Linked DNA regions of Oryzias latipes. The protein of the gene in region 1 purifies or fractionates together with the protein of each later gene. This does not show direct contact. Links are inferred from orthologs where the notes say so. Each region holds a gene or a part of one and is shown in the gene's direction. Other genes may lie near its edges. The genes, in order: trmt112 and alkbh8.

The links.
Region 2: the proteins of trmt112 (region 1) and alkbh8 purify together in Homo sapiens (co-immunoprecipitation; 3 studies listed by IntAct, with this or other methods). This does not show direct contact. The link is inferred for Oryzias latipes from reciprocal best matches to the Homo sapiens genes TRMT112 and ALKBH8.

The regions. Positions count from the first base shown.
Region 1 is NC_019868.2:11,958,374-11,962,509, reverse strand, and holds the end of trmt112 (multifunctional methyltransferase subunit TRM112-like protein), read left to right. Parts: intron 1-221; coding exon 222-314; intron 315-3,273; coding exon 3,274-3,375; 3' UTR 3,376-3,612; downstream 3,613-4,136. UniProt on the Homo sapiens protein: Acts as an activator of both rRNA/tRNA and protein methyltransferases. Together with methyltransferase BUD23, methylates the N(7) position of a guanine in 18S rRNA.
Region 2 is NC_019871.2:20,772,895-20,777,143, forward strand, and holds the start of alkbh8 (alkylated DNA repair protein alkB homolog 8), read left to right. Parts: upstream 1-1,152; 5' UTR 1,153-1,180; coding exon 1,181-1,309; intron 1,310-1,449; coding exon 1,450-1,583; intron 1,584-3,028; coding exon 3,029-3,129; intron 3,130-3,218; coding exon 3,219-3,350; intron 3,351-3,562; coding exon 3,563-3,658; intron 3,659-3,788; coding exon 3,789-3,893; intron 3,894-4,208; coding exon 4,209-4,249.

The DNA.
Region 1 (4,136 bases):
CATCACTCATAGAAAGTATATTTCTGATCTTAGGAATATTCCGCAGGTGAAAAAAGGCAGTTCTACACGTCTGAGATATGTGAGCCTTAAAAGATAATTAAATTAAATCTGTACGAAGTGCGTGGTGTTTAATAAATGCAGATCAAGCCTCTAGGAGAGTTTTATGTTGTGCTTTGTAGCTTTGATATGTTTAATTGTTTTCCTCTTTCTCCCTCTTATAGTTGGGTTATCGACAGGACCTGCCTGGTGAACTTATTGCAGATTACGAGCAAAATGAAGAGTTCCTGAAGAAAGTACACAGAGTGCTGTTGGAGGTATGTGACAGACTGCAGAGTCAGGGGGGTATTCCAGAAAGCAGGTTATGTGAGTTACCACGATAATTTTGAGGCTAAGGAAGTTGATAACCTCAGCTTTCGGTTCCAAAAATGGAGGTATGTTTCAGGGTCAAGTTGCCATAGCAACTCATGCGCTGAACATAGCCTGGTCTGGAGCAGGTTTAGTTGAAGGTTAGTTTGTTTTCAGAGAGGTGAAGCAGCATGCCGTGTCCATTTGAAGATGATTTAGATAATAATACTTTTTCCACCATGAGAGGGTGATAAGACCACATATGGATGTTGGAAATATAAACTTTTACTTTGATCTAACTTAATTATTTGCTTCAGCTAAGATAAATCATTTTTTGAGTTCAGTTCACTTAAAAATAACACATAGTTTTCAGACAGTTATGTTACTTTCATTCAAATTAATTCAATTAAGTAAGTGTAACTTTGGTGCTGCTGTTAGATCGGCACCGCAAGGAATTGTGGGAAACCATTCCCTTTGTCTGTCTGGACGGATTTAGGTTTAAGTGTGGGTTTTTGACCAAATGTGTTTAGTTGTTTAGCTGTTTTACTGTGTTTTGCCGAGTTATTTTATCCTCTTATGCGTGTTATGTTTAATTCTTTCTGCAACACGAGTGAGAGAGAGGGAGAGGATGATGAGGTTATGTAGCTTATTTAGCACAAGCAGTGCTGACTTGTGTCAAAACGTTAAGTTAAAGTCAGAGTCATGATAAATGATTAGATGTCGTAATTTTCAAGTCCACACTGTATCAATTATTTCAATGTTATAAAAATGAAAATATCTGCAGCCTCGAACTTAGACATATGAGAGTTCCAGAAGTACAAGAAATTAAGATGGAAAAACATTTAATTGAATTCGATTATTATGACATTTAGTTAGATAAATATGTAAATTTTATTTGTATATTTTAGTTTTATAAACAATTGTTGAGTTGGATAGACATAAATATATATATATTTCCCTTAAGAGCATTTTGCGTCACAATGAAAATAGAAATGAGATAGAAACTCGTGCATTTACTTTGTCCGTTCTTTTTCTCCAAGCAGAAACTTTCTTTTGCTGATGATGCAGCCGTGTTACTTTTTTGATGGTCTTATAATCTTCATACGCCGTCATTAAAATCTCAGACTCGGCCTCACTAAAGTACAGCGCTCTCTTTTGTGACTCCGGAAATCGGCGATCCATTGACAATGTCTTTATGTACTTGCCGTGCACGTGCATTAACCAAGTCGAGCGTAACTCATATTCGGTCTTTTGGAACCCACATACCCAGAGTACTGTAAGCAAGTTCAGGCGGATTTCAGCCAGAGTTCAGGGTTAAAGTCAGGGTAGTTTAAAAATGCTTTCTGGAATACCCCCTAGGAGTCTCTAAACCTGATCCCAGTGAGCTATTGCCCTGCTTGTTTCGCAGCTAACCCCTGCTTCAGTATTTGTGATTAGCTGGATTGAAGGAGCCCAGTTTCTGATTGACTGAACAAACCTGATCAGTCAGCAGTTATGCTGACTGTCCTCTACTTTTCCTTCTGCGCTGCAAAACTGTAAACACCGTCTGGTCTGAAGTCTAAGCAGCATCAAAGCCAGTAGTGACGATGAAAGAGGGTAATCTACTGCAGTGTATTTCAACCAGTGTGCCGTAGGAAATTGCCCTCATTAACTGATCTAAAAACATTTTTCATCTCCAGGAAATCAGCTCTTTTTTCATCCAAACAGGCCCTGATAAAACACTGAGTAGTTAGGAATATAAAAGATCTTAAAATTACTTTTTCTTTGTGTTTATTTAATTCTATTAAAGACATTTTGATAAGAATGACTGTACTGCGATTTACCTGCAGCTATGACAGTTTGCGGAAAAGTCCCGCCCATTTAACTGTCTCCGCCAATCATTCTTGAAGGCTTAATCACATGTCATCAGTCTGACCAATCAGAAGTGCTTAAAGTCTTCACTTCCTTGTTCTTAATTCTGCTGATAAAGTCGCTCAGTTCTAACAAAAGTACCAGCTAAAGCTCGTCTTTAGCGGTGTAGCTTTCCACAGAGTCCGGTGTCAGACCGTGGAACAAGTGAACAAAACAATGAAGCTCAGAGACACGAGTCTTTCTGCAATTTTTCGGCAGTTTTCACACTACATCTCCCATGATGCATTGGCTTAAAGGGCCAGTGTCCCAGCGCACAACGAGTTGTCCTTGTGAAACGTCTTGAAACCACAACAAACAAACAGTTTCTTAATTTTCTAATATAACTTTCATTTCATCTCTTAGAAAAAAACAGCCGCAACTTCCTGCTCTTCCGGCAAAAATGCACGTGAGATTGCGGGGGGGGGGGGCTCAAAAAAAGTGTGCCGTGGCTCAAAAAAGGTTGAAAAACACTGATCTACTGAACGTGTCTCACTTTCTCCCAGAGTTACCTGCTTTATGCTTTTGACAGATGAGCCTGCTTCATGCATGTCACATTAAACAAAACAACCTATTTAAAGTCCAACTCGGTTTATCTCTTAATCTATTTTAAAGCGTTCACAGTGTCCGTTTAATTATAATTGTGCCATTTTTCAGCAAAATTAATAAACCTGTAGTTTTCTAGAACATAGTTTCTGCAGAACGGCAGGAGTTCATTAGAAATTCACCACTTAAATTGTGTGTGTGTGTGGGGGGGGCTGTTGGTGCAGAGTAAGCCTACCCCCACTTCCTATTATCCATCTGTTTTTACACTTACACACTAGTTTACAGTCCCTCACAACCCAAACCTATAGTGAGCAATATTGACACTATCCAGCTTTGAGGCAGATTCCAGCTCAGACGAGGATAAAGAAGTACATGGATCTGTTCGTCTGCAAGTGGATGCTTCAGAATGGAGTATAGCAGGGAGCTTGTGGCCTACTGGTTGTAGTTTCTAAATTACAGCTACATTTTTCCTTTGTTCTCCGCTCCGCCTCACAGGTGGAGGTGATGGAGGGATGTCTAAAGTGTCCTGAATCAGGACGGGAGTTCCCGATCACCAAAGGAATCCCCAACATGCTGCTGAACGAGGATGATGCCTAAGATCTCTGTATCTGCAGACCAAACCTTTCCCCCCGTTAAGACTGTGTGCAGAGAAACAGACCACTCTGTTATTAGTTGATAGTGCTTTTAGCATTTCAAGTGTCAGATACCCAAAGAGATGCTGAAAAAACCCATCTGGAAATGTTTGAACAAAGTGAACCCTTTTTGATTTTATCTGTATTTATTTTTATAACTTGTTTTTCTTAATAAAACTGTCCAGATTTTCCTCACAGCTGCAATCTGTGGTGTTTTTTTTCCATTTAAAAAAAAAAAAAAAAAAAAGGAGCTGTTTGTGCTGCAGGCGAGCCAAAGAGGTGGGCTCTGAACTGAATCGGTCCTCTCTGAGCCTGATGACGTGGCTGCAGGCTGCCTGCATTTGGCTTTAAGCAGAAGGAGGCAGGCAGGGTGGAAGTTGTTTTGGAGGAAGTTTTTTTTTTTTTTTTTTTTTTCTTAAAGCCACACATTACAGCTTTTCTTTTCACCCAGTCTGGGTGGGATCCAGTGATTTGAGATGCACCATGGTGTGTCTGATTACTCTTAAGCTTGAGGACAGATTGTGGTTTGGTCCATGCTGATAAATTAAGTGTTTTCTCCACGTTCTGCAGCAGGGGTGGAACAAAAGTCTGTTTGCTTGCAGTTATCATTTTTAGAAACTCTGCCAGAACCAGTGATGAAAGGGGGTGGGAGGAGGGGGGTTTGACCAGAAGCCTGGAGGCAGCCTGAGTGTTTCCTACCTTTTCCTTCTACTTAGAGCAATTACA
Region 2 (4,249 bases), on another chromosome or scaffold:
CAAAAATAACTGTGCACTTGAATCTTTCTAAATCTTCACAAAAAAGCTAGAAGTACTAACAACTTTCTAACTAATGCCCAATCATTTATGGAGGATTCAAAATAACTCAGAATAAGTATTTCCTGTATTATCATTGTATGCAAGATGAAATTATGATGCTCCTGAGATGTTAAAAAGAATGTATAAAAGCCACGATTAGAAATAAAAATAAATTGTAAATGTTACATTTATAATTTATTTTTATTTCTAATCGTGGCTTTTATACATTGTAAAAAAAATCTAAAATACATAAAATATATAATGCATATAAATAACCATATAAACGTCATGTCACATGTTGATTTAGAGTAAGTAATTTTTTATTATTATTTTTTTCTTTATGAACAAAATATTACATTTTTTTGACTGCCTACATTTAAAAAAAAAGCAGCTTTGGCCACGATGATACTCCCCTGTGTGTTTTTCAAACTAAAACTTTTCAAAAATGTTAAATTAAAATTAAGACATGAAGGGCTCCAACAACCGACAGTCTCTGTTTGATGTTGAGCTGTTTGAGTCCCTAAAAGGAAAACACCAACATGCAGCCTGGTCTGGTTCAAAAAGACTGCAAAACTGCTCATCTAAGTAATTAGACTCATAAAAGCCAGACATTTCAAGTCAGAATTTAAGTTAACAGAATTTAAGTGAAGTAGTACTTCTTTTATTAAGTATACTTGTTTAGCAAGTTTACTATAGACCATGTAGGAGTAGTGTAGGAAGTATACCAACTGAATACTTCTTCAGACTAAATAGGAACATTTTTAAGTTTACACTAAATTACATAAAAATTTAAATTAAAGTATACTACTTCACGCTTAAATAGACTACTTTTTGCTGAGGGGAAAAAAATGAAGTATGATCAGTGTTTTCAATAACTAGAAAATATGTTAACTCCTACGTTTGTGGTACTGAGTTTGTTTAATGCGTAACATAAAGTAATACTTTTTGGACAAAAGTAAGTAACATGTAAGTTTATATTTCTTGAAAGTAACTGGAACAAAAATTCTTTAAAAAAAATCTTTTTTAACACAACAATGTAAATCCCAGACGTCTTCAGGCCTTTTTATATGTAATACGTCATCATCCGGAACCTTATTCTTCCAATGCGTGCGTCGCACGGACACTTTTAGTGGACGGGACCATGAAGTCCGATCTGTCAACAGAGAGCAGAAAAAGTAAAGAGGAAAAGAAAGTGTTACGAAAACAGCTTAAAGCCAGTCACACTCTTTTAAAGCATGAAGGCGTCTGTACAACACCGCAACCAACCAAGGTAAGCTAAAGATAACTTCAATCAAAGCGGATATAAAAAAACGTTTCTGATCCACCTGTCGTGTCAGTCTATCGTAAACATAGTTTGTTTTTGTTTAGTGTCTATATTTTTTTAAACGTTGCTCCGTATAAATTGTGCAGAGTTTGGTGATCGCAAACGGCGGTCTGGGGAATGGCGTCAGTCGAGAGGAGCTGACTGCAGTGCTGCAGGAGATGGGAGAGGTGGAGAAGTTGTTGATGCCTCCACACAAACCCTACGCCTTTGTCACCTTCAGGTACACTCAACATCCCTCTCAGAGGAAACATGCCCCCCTACCTGCCAGTCAGAAGAAACCTTCTGTCTCTAGGTTTCTTTAAAAGTCACATGCATCATAAGAGCAAGTATTTTTACATGTTTCTAAAGTAAAAGGGGTTCATTTTAAAACGATAACATTTGTAATAAATAATATATACAGTATCGATGCAAATAATTTAAAAATAGATTTAATATTCAAGATAATTTATGAAATTGAAACCTAGAAAAAAATATTTCATAATCGTATTTCTGATCATATTTTTTGACTTTTTTTTTATTTGGCTTTCAACAAAATCAATTTCCTTCATTTATGTATTAAGATGTTTAATTTGGTTTTAGATACAAGCATTCAATTCTTACGGAACTGAATATTATACATCTTCTACTATGATATTATTTTTTTAACTGATTCTCAGTCATTCTTAAGAATTACTAATTTACTGTGTAAATGTCTTCAAAAATAGGAAAGTAAGAACGCTATAAAACTCGTAGATTGTTTATCTGTTTATGTAAACTATAGCACTTTTTTTCTTGTCACATTTTCTTTTCATTTTGTTGGTTTTTATAACTTAAAATGTATTAATTTGGGTCTTTTTTCCACTGCATTTGGATTCATTTGTTTTTTGGGAGGTAATAATGGTTGCCATATAGTTTGGGATTTTGAACGACTACATGTTCTGTGACTGGATTTGTCAATAAAGGAAAAAAAAACCATGAGCCAAATGAAAACGGGAGGCCATGCAAAAGCAGCTCCAGAATAAATTCTAGGCAAGAAAGTCAGGCAGGTGTTCCAGAGGCAAACACAACCAATTTACAGAAACACCTGTCAATTTGGAAAATGACAACAAAAGAAGAAAAAAAAATGAAAATACGAACAACAAGCTTGAGATGTTTGATTGACTTACAAGAAGAGAGAGACATTCTTAAGCCTTAGACAACCTCACAAATCATGCTCTTATTTTGTAGTAATGGGTCTGTGAACTGGGTTATTAACCGTAATCGTCACACAATGTTATAACTCATTTGAACTGACTGTAAGATTGTGTATGTGTCTGCATGGTTGAAGTTATCATTGCGTTTGTATGTTGCTAGTAAATTAAAATAAAGGTGGAAATTGTGTTTTATTTTATAAAATGAGTGGGATTCTTTAATAAAATTATTTTATATCACCAAATACTTTAGAAAAAGTATTTGTGCAGGTACTCCAGAAAAACTAAGCAGTCTGATTCAGTGTTATTAACCTTTTTCCCACTTAAAAAAGCAAAAGTCTATTTCTGAAATCTACCTGTTCATAGTTTTGTAATGCTGCAGATGCAGTTGGAGGAGCACCAAACTGCTGTTAAACGTTAGCTGCATCCTCGTTTGGAGCATGGAACTGTGGGCACAGATGTTGGTGTTGACCTCAGACTCTCATCCTGTTTCCAGATCTGAAGATGGCGCTCGGAAAGCTCACGCCAACCTTAATGGGTGGAAGTTGCAGTGTGGCGAGAGCAGCATCACACTGTACCTCAGTTACGTCGACTCAGGTGCTTGTCCCTTAAACAGCCTCTTAAAACCACCTTAAAAATTCCTCTTCATCATAACTATTTGTTCTACTCTCCATGTCCATCCACAGTAAAGTGTAAAGAGGGAGCATCTGTCCCTCTGCCAGAAGGTTTGGCCTTGGTGGAACATTTTGTGTCTCCAGAGGAAGAAGCACAGCTGCTCAATGTGATTGACTGGTCACCCACTCAAGGTGACGTCACTGGTAAACATATGTCCTTTTTTACTGTGAAAATGTTCCTAATCTCCTGTTTTTCCTGTGAAATGATTCACTTTTTACGTGTGCTTTTGAGCTTCAAGTATTGTACTAGAATGTAATTGGTTGACCTCTTATACTTGTTTATTTTTTTAATTAAAAGATAAAATCTGTTTGCACTTTCGTTTCTCTTTATGGATAAAGTTACAAATGTTTTTCAGCTCAAAAGTCCTTGAAACACAGACGAGTGAAACATTACGGTTTTGAATTTCGCTATGACATCAACAACGTGGACAAAGACAAACCGTTAGCTGCAGGTACAACTGCTATTTATTTGACAAAAACACTGTTTATTTCAGAGAAATTTCACAGATTAAAACCAGAGATTTATTGGGATTTTCACCGTTTTTATGGTGTGTGTTTGTGTTCATGTGTATGTGTCTCCAGGCCTTCCAGATGAGTGTGTACCCATTCTGCAGCGTTGTGTGGAGCAGGGACACACTAACGTCCTTCCTGATCAGCTGACTGTGAACCAGTATGAGTCTGGACAGGGTGAGTGACAGCAGTTTGATGATGTTACACACATTTTCTAAAAAAAATGGTAATGTTCAGATGTTAAAAAACCTTTTGGAATCTCTGGTTTTTCTATAAATGTTTTTTTTTTCAAAATGGTATTAATTAATGTGCAAACCTCACAGACTCTGGGTGAATTAAAGCATTGTTTTCCACATTAGCTACTCTGTGTTGAACTATTTATGACCGTTTTCCTATGCTCGGCAGGAACAAACAGCAGCTATGGCTTCTGTTCTTAGACCGACCTTCACAGATGTAGTTGTTTCATCTGACATGAAATTCCTTTTTTTTCAGGCATCCCCCCCCATGTGGACACTCATTCTGCCTTTGAAGAC